2 linked regions of the Struthio camelus genome follow. The protein of the gene in region 2 purifies or fractionates together with the protein of the main gene of each other region. This does not show direct contact. Links are inferred from orthologs where the notes say so. Each region holds a gene or a part of one and is shown on either strand. Other genes may lie near its edges. The genes, in order: PDCD10 and SLMAP.

The links.
Region 1: the proteins of SLMAP (region 2) and PDCD10 purify together in Homo sapiens (affinity purification with mass spectrometry; 3 studies listed by BioGRID and IntAct, counting the BioPlex papers as one, with this or other methods). This does not show direct contact. The link is inferred for Struthio camelus from reciprocal best matches to the Homo sapiens genes SLMAP and PDCD10.

Annotation. Positions count from the first base shown.
Region 1 is NC_090950.1:28,961,963-28,971,220, reverse strand, and holds the start of PDCD10 (programmed cell death protein 10), read right to left. Parts: upstream 4,210-9,258; 5' UTR 4,103-4,209; exon of another isoform or gene 3,934-4,102; intron 3,814-3,933; exon of another isoform or gene 3,633-3,813; intron 3,195-3,632; exon of another isoform or gene 3,101-3,194; intron 2,333-3,100; exon of another isoform or gene 2,217-2,332; intron 1,741-2,216; exon of another isoform or gene 1,700-1,740; intron 387-1,699; exon of another isoform or gene 1-386. Other genes in the region: SERPINI1 (neuroserpin), read left to right, coding at 4,427-4,462. UniProt on the Homo sapiens protein: Promotes cell proliferation. Modulates apoptotic pathways. Increases mitogen-activated protein kinase activity and STK26 activity. Important for cell migration, and for normal structure and assembly of the Golgi complex.
Region 2 is NC_090955.1:15,300,373-15,310,505, reverse strand, and holds the start of SLMAP (sarcolemmal membrane-associated protein), read left to right. Parts: upstream 1-6,377; 5' UTR 6,378-6,510; coding exon 6,511-6,708; intron 6,709-10,133. UniProt on the Homo sapiens protein: Associates with the striatin-interacting phosphatase and kinase (STRIPAK) core complex, forming the extended (SIKE1:SLMAP)STRIPAK complex.

The sequences.
Region 1 (9,258 bases), on a different chromosome or scaffold from region 2:
CTGCATATAAACCTGATTTTTATTGCAGTGGTCCCACAGATTCAAACATAGGCTGTTAGCCAATAGGTATAACAAAAGTCATGCTTTATGTTACATCAGATGAAATCAGTCAGAGAGAATGAACAAAACAGATGCAAGGGACCCTAAGACATTTTAAATAATTCTGCTCAACTGTGTCAAAAAAAAATCCTTAAGCTAAACTTCCTGTAAGCGAAAAAGAATATATAGCAATATAGCAAACACCACTTCCCGAATTTTACAACTACTGTTAATAGTAAACAAAGTAAAAGGTTGCTTTCTCTAATCTGTCACTGACAGATTTTTGATCAAGCTCTAAATCAAGTAGCAGAAAAACAGAGCTACTTAATGAGAATACCACCGCAGTCTACAGTAATCTTCCCAAAACTTGCATTTGCTCATTGACCAGTGCAAAAGCCAGTGAGATATCTATGAACATAAGAAAGGTGTTTGTTTAATACTAGCTTTTGAAATTGCGTTTAAAGAGAGCATAGCCTCTGAATTATAAGGCTAAAGTTTTTTTTTCCCTTTTTAAATAACAGAAACATTATCAACTGGCATAACTCAGGACTGACATCCTGCCACCAGTAGACCTACCTATACCAGTATAATGCTGTCTTTATCCCATTCTCCAGGAAAACCTTAAGCACCTAGGCATTAATGCCTAACCACAATCTTCCTTTTAAGAAAGCCCCAATCAATCAGATTGATTATTTCAATAGTGGGCTTCTAGGGTAGAACCAAAATTATGACTATCTTTGTTGGTAAAAGCTGTCCTTATTGCCCAGAATTCTGTTCCACCTGTTGCAGTGAGGATTCAAGAACATCAGGTTAAAGAAAAAGCCCTCCAAAAATCCCCATTCTACCAAAAAAAAAATCTTGATTTCTGCTCAAGAAGAAAGGGCAGGGGGAATAGCAGTTAGTAGGAATAGTACACTGTATTCACAGAGACAAAAAGTTTGGCCTGTATTTGTAAATCCAACATGCACAAAGTCAAGAATTTCTTCGAAAAGAAAGTCTCTTTAATTAACTAAGTGCAAGTACAAATTTACAAGTCAGGAGGGAATAGAGTATATTGTTTTAACTGTATACATACCCCACACAGTTTGGTTGCTTTATTATGCTTCCCTTATTAATGGCCATTCAAAATAGTTAAAAAACACTTTTTCCTTTTCAGACATTAACTTGCCTGCTAGCACTATACTTCAATTAGATTGTAATCATTTCCCATTGTATAACTTAAAAGCACACAGAACAAAGATTTTAAGCTTTGTACTTAAGATATAGAACTACTTTTCTTCTTTCAAAAATTTAAGTGACTTTATGATGCAGTAAGCATTTGCAAAAAGACTGCCAGAAAACACTGAAGTAGGTGATCTTTCAAGCAAACAAGGCTTTGTCTAAATAAGAATACTAAGAAGGTAAGGCTGGCTGGCTTGAGATATTTGGAAGTTAATTCCTTGTCATTCACTTTCTGAAGGCCTTGGCTTCAACTTTCTGAATGGCAAGCAAGAAAAACTATTTCTACATATTGCGGAGAAATACCTCACCTTCTCTGAAAACAAACAGGAAAAAAAAAATCCAAAACCCACCGCTGAATCTAGCTGACAAACATGGGTTTCTACTTTTAGTTACTGCAACCACTAGAGAAACCAAAGGCTTACACTGAAGAAAACATCACCTTTAGCTCTACTTTCATTCCCTGTGCAGCACGCTAGCCACCTGGAGAAAGGGAGGAAAAAAGGAAAAAAACGTGAAGATTTTTTCCTTGCAATGAGGCAAGTAAGGAGAAAAAGGTTAACGTGTGTATTGGGGGCAGGAAGAGGGATGAGGACTGAAAAGCCAAGTCTGAGCATTACAAATCGTCTCCACTGTGCTGTCTGAAAGTGGTAGCAACACATGAAAAAAATCTCAGTGTAGTATTTCTGCACTGTTTTTAAAGTTCATTTTGTTCACTTTTCTGCCACTGTGATCTTTCCTCCTCCCTCCTCCGAAATGCTTAGTGTTGCAAGTATGTTTTCCAGTATTGTCTGGGACCTACAAAAACCTGATATTACACCAAGAAATACTGAATTATATAAGAGAGATTGAATAGCACAAAACATTATGCCCAATAGGCTTGATTTTAAAAATTAGAAGCGATTTCAAAATTTAAGTTTCAACATTCACTTTCAGACCATTCACTGGAATTAACATACAGTTCAACTAGGATGACAACTTCTGTATTCCAAAAACCAGTAGAAAAAACATGAAAGTTAAAAAGGCACTCTGCTGCAATAGTTCCACATTCTAATTTGTATATCCAGTAGTTTCCCTGAAAAGATAACAGAAAGAGTATCATCAAAAGATAGCACTCAAGTTTTAAAAGGCTCTTTAAAACACATTCTACTGAAGAGATTTGCAGTTTCCAAACACTCGCTGAAATACACTATAGCCACTTATGCTTTGTCAGAGTGAACTCAAGTTTAACTGCTTATGCATTATATTACCGCGATTCTTATGAGTGATTCAGAAGTCACACAAGCAATTCACAATAAACCCAACTAGTCTACTGCTAGATCAACTTTAAAAAAAATCTTAATATAAACTTATTCTGAAATCACTCTTACAATTAATTCACATTCTTCTGCAATGCTGAACTTCAAAGTGAGAATGGTTTAGTTTTCCTAACATATCTACTTTTTGTGCTTGCCACAGGAGGAACAAGAATAGCCTCCTGGACTGCACCCCAATTTCATTAGTTACCTAAATTAAAAATATTATAACTGACACAGGTCACGACTCTTAGGATACATAATGGAAACAACGTATGTCAGCTTCTCTTTCAAGCTCTTCCCCACCTCCCCTTTGGGAACTTGAAGGTAAACATAATATTTCTGTCTCTACTCTTTTATCAAATACTCCAAGAAACTAGATACAACCAAAACCACTTTCAAACACACAAACATGTTCCAACAAGTAAATGAATAACAGAAGGCAACTACTTCCTCTGATACAGCAAAAACACAAAACCTGGCCCAAGGTTTCAGCCATCTACCCGCACCCCCAACACCTGTAAGCTGCGGGCACCAAGCCAAGTCACCAGTTAAATGAGCAGTTTAGAGGGATCCTTCAGCGTTCACTGTCCCTCCAGACTGTTGTTGCAGCAGCCCCGCACAGCGCTGCCGGCCAGCTGAGCCCGGGCTGCCGGGCACGGTCACGTTTGGCTTCGAGCAGGGCAGCCGCAGAGCTGCCCCTTTTACAGTGTTTTTTTTTTTTTGGGGGGGGGGGGGAGGAGGAAGAGAAACGCTTTTCCTCCCACCCCCCCCCCCGCCTAGCGAAACCCTGCCCGCACCGCCGGAGCGCTCCCGCTCCGCAGCGGGGCCAAGCCACCTGACAATGCTCCTCGCAAGCGTTAGGACGAGCTAAAAATACACATCCGGGCCTGCCTCTGCCAGGCCCGGGCGTCCTGCCGAAGACGGCTGCCGGACCGGGGGGGGGGGGGGGCTGGCGGCGGGCACCCCCCCTCCGGCTCCCGCCGCAGCACGGGAGGGCCCTGGAAGGCCGCGGGAGAGGGAAGTGCGGCGAGAAGTAGGAGCCTGCACCAGGCCTCAGACCAAGGGGAAACCGGTCACCTGCCTGCCCGGGCCAGACCCCCGCGGCCGGGCGGGGAGGCGAGGGGAAGGGACGAGAGGGGGGGCGCCTCCCTCACTCCGCGCCGCACGGCGAGGCCCGCCCGTCCGCCCGCCCCGCGCTCACCTCAGGGCGGCGCTGCCGGCGGCCCCCGCCGCTCGGCCGCCCCCCCCGCGCCCCTCAGCCAGGCCCCAATGCTCGAAGGCGTTTTACGCTCCTAGCGGAGCGCAGCCTGGAAAGGAGAACGAGGCCCTACGCAAACACACTAACGACCCCCCCCCCACACACACACAGACCCCAAACCTGGCCCTCCCGCAGCGCGCGCGAGACCCCGCGGGCACGCGCCAACAGCAACCCGGCACCTTACCGTCCCCCCCCCCGCCCCGCCGAGCCCCCAGCGCTCCTGAGTGGGCTTCGTCGCCGCGCCGGAAGTGCCTGCGAGAAGGAAGAGTCTGCTGCTGTTACCACACACCAGGCGTTGCCCGGAACTAGCCAGCAGCCGCGCAGGCTCCTGGGATTTGTAGTCCGCCGCCAGCCACCACGCGTCCCACAATGCAACACGGCGCTCGGCCCGGGGGGAGGGGAGGGGGGGGCGGAGACCTGGAGGAGGAGTAGGTTGGAGGGGGCGCCCAATCGGAGCGCGGGGCGGGAGGAGGGGGCGGAGCTTCTGCGGGGCGGGGCGGGGCGGGGTGGGGTAGGGAAGAATATCCAGGCGGTGTCCGAGGCGCGGCGGACACTGCCCGCGGCGGAGCGGCGGGTGCGCTGGCAGGTGAGCGGGCGGGGGCGTGTCGGTTGGATGGCTGTGGCGGCAGCAGCAGCAGTACCGGGGGCGGTGAGTGTGCTCGTCCCTTCCCTGCCAGCGCTTGGGGAGGGAGGTTTCCTCAGCGTGGTTTCGTCCCGTAGGTTGTGGGAAGCTCTCCGCCGCCGTCGCTCGGTGGCGGTAACGGCCGCGGGGAGCGGCGCTCCCCGCGCGAGCCCGTCCGTTAGCGCCTGAGGGGAGGCATCGCGCGCCGCCTTCCCTCCCGCCGCGGCAGGGACGGAGGCGGTGAGGGAGGAAGGTGTTTCCCCGCCGGCAGGAGAAGTTAGAGAAAGGGGTGCGGGGGGGGCGGGGGAATAGATATAAAACCTGCTGCTGTTAAGTCATCCGTTGTGCGCGTCTGCACCCGCCTGTGGCGCCCGGGAGCGCGTCCGCTCTCCTCGGCGGAGGCGAGAACCGCGCCTCTGAGGAGACGCTCAGCTCCCCTTCGCAGCGTCTTTATTGTGGTACGGGCGCTTTGTCTCCCAGTGATTCTGTGGTTAAGTGCTGCAGCAGTACTTAAAAACTCGTTCGTGCCGGAGGGGGTGATAGAGTACAGGTCTGTGCGGCTCTTCTGGTAGCTGCCCGAATAGAGCTGTACTTCTGAAGCCCTGTCCTGACGGGCTTCCCTCCTTTGAGGCACGGGTTTTTCCTTTCGTCGGAAATCACAGGGAAAAAGATTGGAAGATATATTTTAATGAATTACCTGGCCATCTCCTAGTCCCCAGGAAGGTCCAATTACGCATGAAGATTTTGGGTAAACTTTTATACGGATATTTACAGCAGCTACTCTTTCCCTTCTCAGTTAAAATGCTTGCGTGCCCTGACCGTTTGACCCATGACTCTGTTTGTTATGAACTTTGTGACTGTGAATAATCCTTTTTGTCTAAAAGCAGAAGTTCCAGCTTTATCTTATGGTATCCTCCCTTTTACTTATAACAACATTGTAAAGCATTTCAGTGCTCATAAAACATATACATAGTATATATACCTGCCATATACAGAGTATTTCATTTTTTGTCCATTAAGAAATTTAAATAAACTTGCACGTTATTTGCTAGAAACAGCTGTGTTACTGAAAAGCTTTAGACTTGAATTTTTAATTGTATTTAAAATGAATTTAATATTGTTGAAGTGTGTAATTCAGTTTTAGGTTTGTATCTGCATTTTGCATACGTCAGGACAAAAACTTTTTTTTTAAATTACTGGCTAGCGTGGCCTAATATTAACAAGGCCCAAATTCTGATGCAAGCAGGTGAATGAGTATGCAACTGATTAAACTTAAGAAGCATTATCTGTGACTCCTAGTAGCAGTGAAATGGCAAAGTGGGAAGACTTCTGACATCTGTCTTTCTGAACGTACATATCATGCACATATACCCACATATGTTAACAATTCAAAACACGCTTCACATAGGTAAGCAAGAACACTTAGAAGGACACCTGGATTATTGCACTTCCTTGTGTGTACAAATTTTTTCCCTTTTCCCCACCAGTTCTTGTTGTAATCAGATCTATGTATGATCAGTGTGTCAAATATTTAATATATCTGGCTGTTAAAGGATCAGTCCTGTAACTTGCATGATATGCTTGAAATGTTTCATTAATTGCCTCTTATCTTTGATACACCAAGTCTTTTATCTTACCAGTTTTGAAAGGACCAGTACTTTAGTTTGATGAAAAACTATGCCACCCTGCTTAGATGAGAAACTTTACCAAAATGTCATCTTATAGATTGAGGTACATGCTTGTCTATGGCATTTTATGCTTGTCTATGGCATTTTATGCTTGTCTATGGCATTTTATGCTTGTCTATGGCATTTTATGCTGTCTATGCTTGTCTATGGCATTTTATCTTTTCTGTGAAATCAGTGTTTTAAAATAAAGCCACAAAGCTTCTAAAATAGAATATTCTAAACTATCTCTCTCCCTCTATCAGCTATATTTCCTAAGTTCTGTATTTTTTTTAAGCAGGGAGGTCTTAGACCAGATTTATACTTCACTATTTTCATTTCCTTCACGATTTTCAGAACTGTTGTAGCTGTAAGCTTGCTTGAGTGTGATGAGGAGTTACCCTCTAGGATGCGAGGGAGAGAGAAGGAATGGTTGTTGTTACCCTTTTTCTTTAAGGGAGGTTTTACCCTTTTACCTAACCCCTTTAGGGTTAGATATTGTATTAAATAATCCCTTACCTTAATAATGCAAGTTTTAAGATACGTTTACCCCACAACAGATTGGTACTTCTATGGTCTAGGGTATAGCTTTTTTAGATATTTGAAAATCTGTGTAGTTTACCTAAGGCTCAGCTTTCTTCATTCTGTTCTTTCTAACCCATGTGGGGAAAATAACAGGAGAAAAAAAATTACGTAGCTAAATGTTCATGAAAAAAAAATTCAAGGTAGTTTGAGTATCACCTGTGTAACTGAACTTGAGAAAGACATGTAGCTAACAAATATTTGCATAACACAAGATGAAGTTAAGAATACCACATTTTTCCAAGTTATTTTCTTCATATCCTCCCAAAAGGGAATTTGAAGTTGGCAAAGCGTAAAAGATGAATTGCGTGTTTTGATGGAAAGCTGAAAGTAGGGCTCTCAAGACTTAGCGGGGAGAGCAAGTAAGTTTGAAACAATTGCTTATGCTTAGGAAGGAGTGGGTTCTTTTTCTGCCTCTTCTTGGTTTGGTTTCAATGGTGTTGGATGGGGGGAAGAGAGAGAATTGGAATTAAAAGAAACCTAAAATCAAAAGATACAGCAAGAAGAAGTCTTTAAATTTCTGCTGCATTGTAAAATGCATGGGTGTGCACTAGAGATCTCAAATCCCCCTGTACAGCAAGGGTAATGATGGAAAGATGCTGTTTAATCTTTTGAATCATTTTTCTCTGATAAAAGCCCAGAAAGATCTCCCTTGTTTGATGTTACCTTTGGTTATCAGATTTGGATAACAAATATATGGGTATTTTCAGTAATGAGTAGTTAGGTATAGCAAGCATATGTGTCTTACAGAAGTAAGGAAGGCAGAAGGCAACCCAAATCTTCCTTTTAAGAGAAAAAAAAGAAACCGTAAGGGTTATCTTACCTTTGCCATGTGATAAGTGAGTTCTGTCTGTGAATGGAAAGCTATTCAGGACTAGTTAGGTGAATGATTATCAAGAGTAAAATAGAATCTATATTCTTTATTTTCAATTGTTTTAATATCTGCAGGGGAAAGGGCCTACTTACATAACTGATGAGCACTATAATCTGTTTTTTGCTCAATCAGAGCAATCTCATATTGCAAGTATATGAATCTGTAAGCAAGGGACTGGATAAACTTCCTCTGTGGCTGGTTTTGAATTGTAATTTGGAGAGGTTCTCAACATGTTTTGACTCTAAGGGCCTCTAGTTTAAGACAGATCTAACACTTGTCTGTGGAATTACATGAAGCAGCTAGGAGAACACAAGGGGAAGGTCTGTGGCAGTGTTAAGGTTATGTTAAATGCAGACATGAGTTCCAAAAGTTATCTTGACCACACAGTCTCTTCATCCTATGTTTTCACATTCTGTAGTCAGTTCAAGATGGTTTAGTTTATTTGTTTTATTTTAAATCAGTATTCTTGAAGTCACCACCCAGCTACTTACCTACTTTTTTAATCTACACAGTCTTGTGTGCCTGGGCTATTAAATGCTTTAGCTACAACACTGCTGGCTCACATGAAAAGATTGATTCCAGAAATGACTGGGATTAACACACCTCTGAGCTGTGAAGTGCGCTAAGTTGTTAAGCATGCTTTGGGGTTTTTTATTTTGGTTTTGGTTTTTTTTTGGTCAGCTGACTTATTAAAAAAGTGAATGTTAAAGCATTGCAGCCTTTTTCTAAATTTATTCTATAGATACAAATGTCATGGGCTTACATGTAGCTTAATTCCACTTCTATTGTTGTCTTGCAGAACGTAATGGAGAACAGTTAGTGCTAGTAGCATTTTTCACATTAAGATCTAAAATCTAGCTAGTCTTGGCTCTTTAGATAGGTTGCTGGAAAATTACTTTCTTGTTTTTTCTCAATTTCAAGTTTGCTCTGTGGTTGCTCTTCATCTATGAAGATGTACTTTTGACATGGTTGAACACCTTTTAAAGTAATTTCTAAGAGTCCATGTTCTGTGTAGGCAATATATTATTCTGTCTTTATAAAATACCTAGTGAATATGAATTATTATCAAGTACCTCTGTCCTATGGTCAGTGTTTAGGCTGCCCTCATCTTCATGATGCTATATGGCCAAAATAATTAGAAATTAGTGTGTAAACATGGATTTAATAATTAATGCCAAGCTTTCTTTATTTTATATACAGTTGTATATCTCTACAGTAAATAGAGGTGGTTACATGTCAGCATAATTTATGGATGGTAGGGAAGTACATATCTTATCATTGTTCACAACTGGCTGTTTATAACTTTGTATTTTTCCCTGAAATACATGGAAAAGACCAGAGTAGTTAAAGTTGGAAAAATACTTCAAATTCTTGTTTGCTTTGTGTCTTTTGCGTACTGTTAGTCCTGTGTACTTGATAAAGAAAGGTTCATGGAGGTTGGGTGGAAATAGTTTGTCACATGCATTCCTACAGGAGGAGAAGAAATACTTTCTAATTTTTAAATGATTGACTTGACAGAAAAAATACATTTCCTTTCCCCTGTAGATATTAACACAATTGAAAATGAAGAATGTAGATTCTATTTTCCTCTTAGTAATCATTCACCTAATGCAATTTAATAGTTCTGAATAGCTTCCCATTCATGAATAGAACTTGCTTATCTTAGGAAAATCATGTAAAATCACGTATGGGAGATAATGAAA
Region 2 (10,133 bases):
TGTGTGCAATATTAATTATATATTAATATAACGTTGTATTAAAAGTATGTTACATAAGTATGTATATAATCTATATATACCCTGTATTAATATCACATAGCTACATAATTGCTATATACTATACTATATAGTATCTTGTTACCATATACAGAGTATAGCATATAATCTGTATACTAATTATATGTGTTTGTATATTTAATATACAATATAAATTATGTGGTGTATATATATATGTATATGATGTAAATTACATTACTATAATTGTATATAAAGTTAGTAAGATATTCACTCGTATACTGTTCATATATCGTGTACTGAAAGATATTGCAATGGTTCTTTATATGGAGAAAGTTAAACATCAAGAAGGGAAAATAAGTCTGAAATTAAAGAATAATGATATCAAACAATAAAAAGGTATAATCCAACCTTTGAATGAATCAAGACCAATAATCTAAATAGATTTTCTAATCTCCAGAGAAGTAACATTTTGAAAAAAAGTTTTCCAACAAGAGTAGCAGAGACTAAAGTCTTAATAAGTTTTAAGGAGGAGCTCGGTGAGCTTATAGGAAGGATTTTACTGCCACTGGAAACAGCCAGACCCTTTCCACTCACGGACCAATGTTTATATCCGTATGGAATCTTTTGCAAAAGTAGTTTAGATGCAGTAGTTCAAAAGCTGTGTAGCAAAGTCTGTAGTTAAACATGCATTATAAATCAGCTCTTGGATGCTGCACAGGCTTATTTTCTACAGTCTGTTTATCTAGGATAATTTGTCTCTTTTTCAACACTGATCATGAAACTAGTGAATAGCCTATTAGCAAATACCTGTTGTTATTTTCCAGTAATGATCATCATTCTGAGGATGCATTCTTGCTCCGTTTATTTCTCATGATACAGCAACGCAGAGAGAAATAAACTGCTGGAGATCGTGTTTGTAGAATGTGTATGTATTCAGCAGCTCCTAGAACAAACAGGTATCTGAAAATTCAGATTGGATTGTTGCTGCCCTGAGATACTCCGCATCTACACCATTTATTCCTGTGACTGTCCAAAGATATGAACTATTACGCATGCACAGAGTATTGTGAATTTTATCAAGAATTGCAACCAGAATATTTCAACAAATTGCAGAGAGAATGACTGACCACATCTTGTCACTCTTTGTTTAACTTTTTTCTTAAGTAGCAAAAGTAGTCCTTCAAAGTCATTACTTTTTCAGTAGTTGCAACTCAAAAGCAACAGCAGACACTGTAAAAATATTGTTCGTCTGAGATGGCATGCAGCTAGTCCTCCCCCTAGCCCTCTAGTGGACAGGAAGCGATTGCTGTGAACCAAAATGTTTTTGTAGTGTGAACACGCAAATTGACACATTCGTAGTTCAAAGGAAAATAAGCCTATTGCTCTGAAAAAAATCCTTACATTTTGACAGTTCAGCTTGGTTGTGGGTGTCTCAGCAGCAATTTCTGAGGCAAGTTCATCTTGCAAAAGATAATACAATAGGATGTAGATACCAGTTCAGTTTCCAACTTTGCTGTGTATTTCCAGACTCACCTATGTAGAAGCAGATTCCTTTATAGGCACTTTTCAAAATTTAGTATTGCTTCAAACAGTGTAGTTGCACACACAATTTGCTGAATTTCTGGAAATCAGTGAGAAGTTAAAGTAATAAATTGCTGATGAGTTTCAAGGATGCAAACTCAGTATAAGACTGTGCATCTCCAACTTTCTCTTTACAATTTAGCTGTTTATTCTGTTTTCATTTCAGTTTGGATCTTACTTTTTATACTCCAAACTAAACTTTTTCTATACAGCATGCATCATTCCATTCCAAATCTAGCAAACTCTCTTGAGTCAGAATCTCCCACTAAGCAATTGGTTCACAACCCCTCCCCACTGACAATCTTGAGCTCATATATATTGATATTTCGGTAACCTTTTAGATCATCACTGCACAGTATTCAGAGATTTGTCGTTGAGTGACCCATAATGATGCTCTGCTTTTCCCTAGGCAGTTAAGTGAATTCGGAATTCACAATAGGATTCCTGAAGTAAAAGATCTTTCTATTTTCAGTAAGTTATTAGGACTGACGAATCTCTCCTGCACCTTGACACACTCAAACCAAAGTCCAGCTGTTTGGCAGGCATGCACATGAACACTACCACTTCTGTATTTCATCATCCTTAAATAGGCACCACTTCTTTAAGAGACAAACGTGGTAGTGCCCTCCCTTCCATTTCCCTTATCCAAGATGGACACAGAGTGGGCCCCTTCTGCCCTCAGCTATGATGGCTATCATAACACTATTATGGACTTCCTGCCCTGAAAAAGGATGGCCACCTAAGTGGCATCTTGCTGCCCTTACCTAATATGGCTGTCAAAGCTGACTGCCTCTTTTGGTTGTGTGGCAAACAGTGGTTTGCAGAACTGAAGCATGTGCTTACAAGCCCTTCCTCCTGCTGATCAACCTACAGTGGCTGATCATTTTAAACCGAACTCCTCGCATCCACCTGTTCCTTTCCTCCATTCAAAGACACTGACTTTCTGATAAGTATCAGATACCTCAAAAAAAACCCGTAAGAGTTTGTATCCTCAATTCAGAATGCAATCACCTGCTATATTTTTAACTTTGTTGGAGTCTACCTCTAATAACTTTTGAACTCGTTTGCCAATTTGAAATAGTAAAAATTCTGAAATATAACTGAATCCACCCAACTTCTGTGAAAGCTGGCACTTGTACAGAAAAGGAAGGCTCAAATTAGTGCCCCTACTGAAAAGTAGGTAGAACTCTCTTGTTACATGAGCCACTTGTCAGTGTGCCAACAAGCATTAGAAAGACAGCTGGCATGTGCCATTGCATCCCCCATGGGACTGTTGTAAAGGATGGAGGAGAGTTCAGAATACCATAATATACCAGTGGTTAATAGTTTACTAAGGACACAGACACTAAGCGTATTAGTTGGTTAGTTCCACTGCCGACAGGATGGCTTATTTGAAAAAGATATTGTAGAGGAAATATAGTACCTAATTTAAGTCTGGTTAATAAAAATATTTAAAAATTATAAATACCTACAGTGAACCTCAGTAAAAGATACCCACTACTTGGTTGTTTTTCTTTTCTTTCTGTGACTTTTACTTCTCTCAGTTCTCCTAGACTCTGCAAATGCTAATGGGTCTTCATGTTTGAGTTGACTTTTAAACTGCTTTCTCCATTAAACATCCCTACAAACATGTAAGAAATGCTATCTCATAAACGTTCTTTTCATTCCAACATCTGCAGGACCCTTTCCTCCCTTTTTCTTTCTACTCCTTTTCAATTTCAAAATGTTCTGAATTATTTCTACTTTTCCAACTATTTCCCTCAAATCTAACTCCTGTTGGACTTAAATTTCCCTAACCTCTTTTTATACTTCTTTCCTCCTCCCTTCTGATTCATTATGGCACCCTGTATGCTAAAATCAATGCACATACAGATTCCCAATTCTTTAAAATATGAGTAAATTAGGAATATTAATCACAATATTAAAATAGTACAAACAAGCTGATGAAAGCTGTGAAGGCGGCGTGTCAGATACATATTTTACTCCTGTCTGGAGACCTGAAAACTACTGACACGTTGCCACACAGCTTCCATGTACTAGTCTTTCTCTTTTTGTCTTCAAAAATTGAACAATCTCATATTGGATTTCACTTCTTTGCCTCAGATACAGATGTTAGCCTGCTTTTGTTGTCTTTCTTTCATTGGATCATCGGAAGAGTACAAAACTAGGCTGTAATGAATCAAAGATACCGCATCACAGTACAGGCAGAAAAAGGGAGAAAACAGCAGACCTTGAGACGTTACTGGGCTGTGACTAATGTAATCATTCTTCCTCTCATACGCTGCACTGCCTCACCCTGCTTGTTGCCCATTTCCCTCATCTATTGCCAGTTAAACTACCTGGCCCAGCTCCTCTTCTCTCCTCCACGGCTGTCTGGCCTTTCTGGCATCACGCAACCCCCTCATCTCTCTAATCCCAACACCTTGTCATGGGGTAATTATAGGTGCTGGCACAACTCCAGCATGAGTCTTATATCAAACAATCTCTGCTTGTTTGCTTTATAGGGACTGACTGACTCATAAATGAATTCGGACTTGAGAGACCTGTTCCGCACTAACCTACTGTATGACCTTGAAAAAACAGCAACCCTGCCTCGGTCTCTGCAAAATGGGGAAAAATGGGATCTTGTGTGATGCTCCGAGACCTACGGAGGGAAAACACTGCACCGGTGACCTCCATCTCTCTGTCCTCCCCCGACCTCTCCGTGCCTGCAGTTACCGCTTCGAGGTTCTCCCCCCCCCCCAACGGCCACACTGTAACTGGACTGAGACAGCAAAACACAGGCTGTACTTCTCCCTCCCCAAAGGACGTCAAAAGCCACTGCGAATTCCAAAATCTCCTGCTCAAGGGCACCCACACCACTGAAGCAGCAGGAAGGTTTCAGCGAGGTCCTTGCCTTACGGAGGGATCCGCTGCCAAGGCGCAGCCCCGCTGCCTGACGGCGCCCGCTCACCCGCCCCGTCCGGCGAGGCGCCCGGCCCCGCAGCCTCACTCACCTCAGCCACCTGCCCCTGCTCCCACCTGTTAGCGCGTCCCCGCTGCCGCCCCTCGCAGCAGCAGCAGCCCCTCTCCCCCCTCACAGGAAACCCGCCCGCCCGCTTCCCCCTCACACCTGCAGCCTCCCGCTCCCCTCCCCCCTCCCCCCGCCCCAACCGCCCCCCCCCGCACCACCCCTCCCCCACCCTTCCCCGCGCACCCGGAAGCGGGCGGCGGCGGCAGCAACGTAGGCGGGGCCGACGCCACCGCGGCGGCTTCACGGCGCGCAGTGCGCCTGCGCAGCCCTCCGCGCCCTCGCCTGCGCCTGCGCAGCCCGCCCGCCCGCGCAGCGCTTGGGGGCGGCCGCCGCGCCTTCCCTTTGGTCAGGCCCCGCCGAGGACGGCTCCTCCCTCCGCCACCGCCTGCCCTCCCCCCCCCGACCCCCGCCCCTCTCTCCGCCCGCCCGCGCCGCGCCGCGCCGCGGCTGCTACACCGGGTAGGTTTCCAGTCACTATGGCGGCCGCTGCGCTGAAGGTAAGGGAGGGAGCCGAGCCCTGGCCTGCCCCCTGCCTCCCTCAGGGCCGGCACCGTAGGCTGGGGGGAGGGGGGGTGCGGGCGGCCGCGCCGCGCGAGGGCCGAGCCTGACCCCGTTTGTTTTCGGCTTTACAGGTCGGAGGAAAGTTTTCGTGGCCGGCGGCTGCCTGAGAGGGCGAGCTACCGAGCGGGCGGCGTCCGGGCCCGGCCTCCAGGCCTCTCCCGCCGCGGCAGGGCCGGCCGCCGCCGGGCCAGCGGAGCGCCGCTCGGCGGGCGCCGCGCGCGGGGCCCCCCGTGCGCAGCCACCTGCGGCGGGGCTGGGCTGGGCTGGGCTGGGCTGAGCGGAGCGGACGCCGCCTCCCCCGGCCCGCCGCTCCCCGCGCCCGGGGGGCTTCTGGCCGAGACTTCCTGGAGCAGCCCCCCCCCCCCCCCCCGGCTCGCCGCCCTCCTCCGCCGGCCCCCGCGCCGCCGCCCGCCGCGAGGAGAGCCGCCGCCGAGAGACGCTTCCCCCGCTTCTGCCAGCCGGAGTCGTCGCAGGCAGCGCCGGGAAGCAACCTGTCAGTCTCCCTCGCAGGCGGTCCCCGAAGGACCCTTCCCACGCTCGCGTCTGTCCCCGAGAGGGGAGTTTGAAGCCCTCTCCATGCCTTATCAAGTTCCTTATCAGAGTGGCTGCCTGAAACTGTAGACCGGTTCAGCTTTATCTGGCGCAGGGGAGGAAAACGGCGTGGCTCTCCTGCTCTCGTGGCCCCATCCTTAATCGAGGACCACCTCTTTTGCTTTGTTTTAAAATATGAAGATGATGAAGTGTGGATTGCTACGTGAAACACCTAGATCCTTGTTGCGGAGCGAGGGCTTCGTATTCACCTTCCAACTCCTCATCTGTGCGCTTTGAGACAGGACGCTAATCCTTCTCCCTTTTCCCTCTTCCCTAAACCTTTCCTTGCTTCCATGCTGCATAGGTCAGGATTTTGGTCAGTGTTGTTTACGGAAGGGGGAAAAAAGAAGGCAGTTGAGATCCCAAACAAAAGTATTTGTATGACTCATCTAGTTGGATTTAAGACATCCTAGCCTTCTTTCAAGGAGCCTTTGCTTCTCTTTGAAGGTATCAGATGCTTGTTCCTGTTCTTCCAGAGGAGGATGGATTGAAAGTTGTGCATTTCAGACTTTTTCTGGGCCACTGCTATTATTAAAAGACATAATGGGGCTTTTTCACTGGATTATTGCCAGAATTAGTTTACACACTGAACGAATGAGTTGTTAGGCCTCTCCTGTACAATAATGTTTGTTCCGCTTTAATGTAAAGTTGCTGTGGAGGTTTGGGTTAAAAATTGTGGAGGACAGTCTGCATCAGAAGAGGTTCTCTTCATCTCTGGTTGGTGTGGCAACCCCAATCTGTCCTCGATGCCTTCAGCCTTGGCCATCTTCACTTGCCGCCCGAACTCACATCCGTTTCAGGAGCGTCATGTCTACCTGGACGAGCCTGTCAAGATTGGCCGCTCTGTGGCTCGCTGCCGGCCAGCTCAGAATAACGCAACTTTTGACTGTAAGGTGCTGTCCAGGAACCATGCTCTTGTCTGGTTTGACCACAAGACAGGCAAGGTGAGATGTTTGTTTTCTTCAATTAAAAGTACGTTTTTAGCAATATTACAGATCACTTTAGTTTCCCTGTAATAGATATGGTTGCAGGTGGAAGCAATAAGATTTGTATAAGAGCTGGAGTGATTCTCAGCAGGTAAGTTGATAATTTTGTATTAAGCTTTAAATATTATTTTAAAAACATAAAATAATGGTCAAAGAAGGTGGTGAGGGTTGAAAAATTTGCGTTCTTGTTCATTGCTGGAAGGATGTGGTTTTCAAGGTGAGTAATAATTCCAAATCTGAAAGCTTAGGCTTAGATAAAATCATAAAAGAGTATTTTTCAAATGCTGAGAAATCCCTATTTTTTATCTGAGTATGTAAATAAATCTCATTGTGAGGAGCTGTCAAAAAGCCAATTAAAAAAAAAAACACCTGATGTTGCGTGGCACTCTTCCTACTTGGCCTGTTTTCAATTTTAGAACAAGTATTCTGTTATTTTGGTCTGACAGTTTCTCTCTGGCAGCAGGAGTCCGACAAATGACGTGCAAGTTGCTATATCATTGACAGCGAAAATGTATTAAAATACACTCTCTACTGTCTTAACCTATTACCCTTTCTCAGAAAGACAGTAGCTATCACGTTAAGTGAAATTTAGGGGCTCTGTAGTTCATATTTTGTCCGCTAGGGATTGAACTGGGACAAGTAAAGTCATTTTACTTAACCGCTGTCAAGTTAATTTTAAATTTCCAACTAGAAATGAACAATGTGCAGATTACAGTTGTTCAGCACTGTCTTTTAAATATATTGATGTTATGTCCTAGAACTTTAGTTACTGTAAACCAAATTTTATTTTCCTCTCCTATATGCCCTTCTATGAAATGTGATCAGTGTAGCTCTTCATTTTTAAGAGTAATATGGTCTGTACCTAATGCATTTTTTTTTTTTTTTTAAGTAGAGTGACACAGCATAAGGAGCAGTAGAATACAGTCAAAGTTCTTAAACCTTTCCGTGTTAACTGTCCTGTGTTATGCAATCCCTGGGCATGATGGGACAAGACAAGCATTTAATTTCTTAAGGCTGGGTTGTGGCATGGCTTTCAAGTTACCTGCATTTAATTGTGCAAACTACTATTCGTATAAGTGTTTCATTAAAAATGTTGTTTTGGCCTCTTAATGTATATAATGTACATTCTTCTGTTAGACACTTTAGAAAAAACTTAAGTGTATTAAATATAGGTATTTTCACTTTAAGGTTACTTTGTAATCTTTTATTTGACCAGACAAACTAACATGTTCTGATTTATTATACTGTTTTTAATTTAAAACATGTTGTGCGTATAGCTCTTTACCAGCGTTTCTCATGATCTTTAAAGATTAAGACCCTCCAGTGCCCACTTACGGCTATAAATAGGCTAGCCATATTCAAGATGGTTTAATTTGACAAAGCTTTTTTGGTGTTGAGCAAGTCTGCTAACTCACAAAGGAGCTTAAAAAGCAGTCAGCTCTTTTGTTGCTGCTGTTTTGTTCTTAAGTTTTAGTTAGCTTTGTTTTTTCTAATACAGGCCAAACAAGTGATATACCTGTTTATTTTATCTAGGTGATCATAATTAGCGAGGTGGTAGTAGTAAATAGACAGTAACATATGATAGCTCTTGAGATTCTGTCTGATGAGAAGTTGATGGAGGTCTTTGAAAATTGCCTAGATGGATATCTAGGTCAGTGGCTATAGCTATCAAGTAAAGACTGGGTTTGGGTTGATGCACAGGAGCGCGTTACTCTAAATTTTACGTGTTAGATGTAGTACTGTAAAAGGTTTAAGGAAGAGTTTGGACTGTATATCTGTTTCTTGGCAATACAATCAGGTTTTGGGGGGTCTGATTGAGTACCTGTGGTAAATTCTGAAGAGAAAGTGATAATTGGAGAAGAGGGGAAAACATTATCGGAGGTGGTAGATATAAAATGCTATTGGGAAGGGCTGGTAGGAGATATGTTGGTATATATAGTCTTAATCTTATTCTCGAATCACAAAAAGTATTTAAAAAACATTCTATGGTATTTTCAAAGTACAAGCAAAAAACTAAAAATTATGCCAAGAACATCTGCGTGCAGGCAAGTATATTATCACTGTTTACAGAACTTCAAATAAGCACATCTCATTTAGGAATATATTGTTATCCTATCAATGATCTATATTTAAACCTGCATACATTCTTTTTGCCGCAGTATTTGTAAGCATTTCTCAGAAACATGAATGTAAGACTTCATCAATTCTGCTTTTTATGGAAGATAAAAGACCTTGAAAGGTTAATTTAGTAACAGAGAGAAACCTTCAGATAATTCAAAAGAGTTTATGAATGATTTAAGGCTATAGTTTCACAATGTATGGACTTCGGAAATACTGTTTTCTTACATTCCTAGTCACTCTGTCCAGGTGCTGTGCTGTCTCTTAAACTGCTTTTCAGTTATGCTGTAAGTTTTTTTTTTTTTTTTCTTGAGGGTTTGGAGGTGGGTTTTTTTTCTTCCCCCTAGTTAATCATGTGAGTGATCCTGTTTACTACATAGTCCATAAACAATTGTATCAGCATAATCTGTGGAGAAGGGTAGAAAGTGGAGAGAGGGAGCACTGGTAAATATTGGCTAGGGAACTAGTGTCCGAATTATGTGAGGGAGAGGTAAGCTTAGCTGAAGAAAACTGTATAAACAGACTGAGTTGAAGATGACATGTTATTTGTGGTTGAAAGATGTGAATGTTTGCTTTGTATAAAGACACTTTAACTGTGCATGGCAAAAGCTACCTGCCCAAAGGAGCTAATGTCTATATAACACCGTTATTACTAAAAATAATTGAGGAAATAAGTCTTCAAGATCAGCAGTAAACAGCAGTTAAAAGCAGATATTTAAAGCTGCATTTGTTTGTAAAATGTCTTCTAACAAAATGAGCAAACTTGAAAATGTGTATGCTGAAGTAGAAAGTGGTAGTGGGGAATACCTGTTTTGAGCCTTTTCTGCACTTAACCATTTTTATAGAAAAATGGTGCGATGTCTCCTTTTGCTTGTGGATTTTTCATACAGCAATAGCAGTAATGGCTTATGCTTAGGATTGTGTGTGGTGCTCCTTTGTTTTGTTTTTGTTTTTTTGGAGTAATTGCAAATTAATGAATCTTTTTAAGGATATCTGAGAAAGTGACTCACTAGATACGTAGGAAGTGGATGTTGTGCTGAGCATGAAGTCTTCCAGACAGTGTGAATCAAAGCAAAAGAAAGCGTGCTACACTTAAGAAAAATCTAAATGATATATTTGTTCAGCTTCTCTCATTGCATATTGGCAAAAACACTTTAAAACGTGCTTAACTGAAATAGTCTTAAATCTGAACTTGTTTTTTAAGAATAAGTAAATTGAAGAACAGAATTTGTGTGCGACTTCTCCCAGGCTGAAATGCTTCTGGA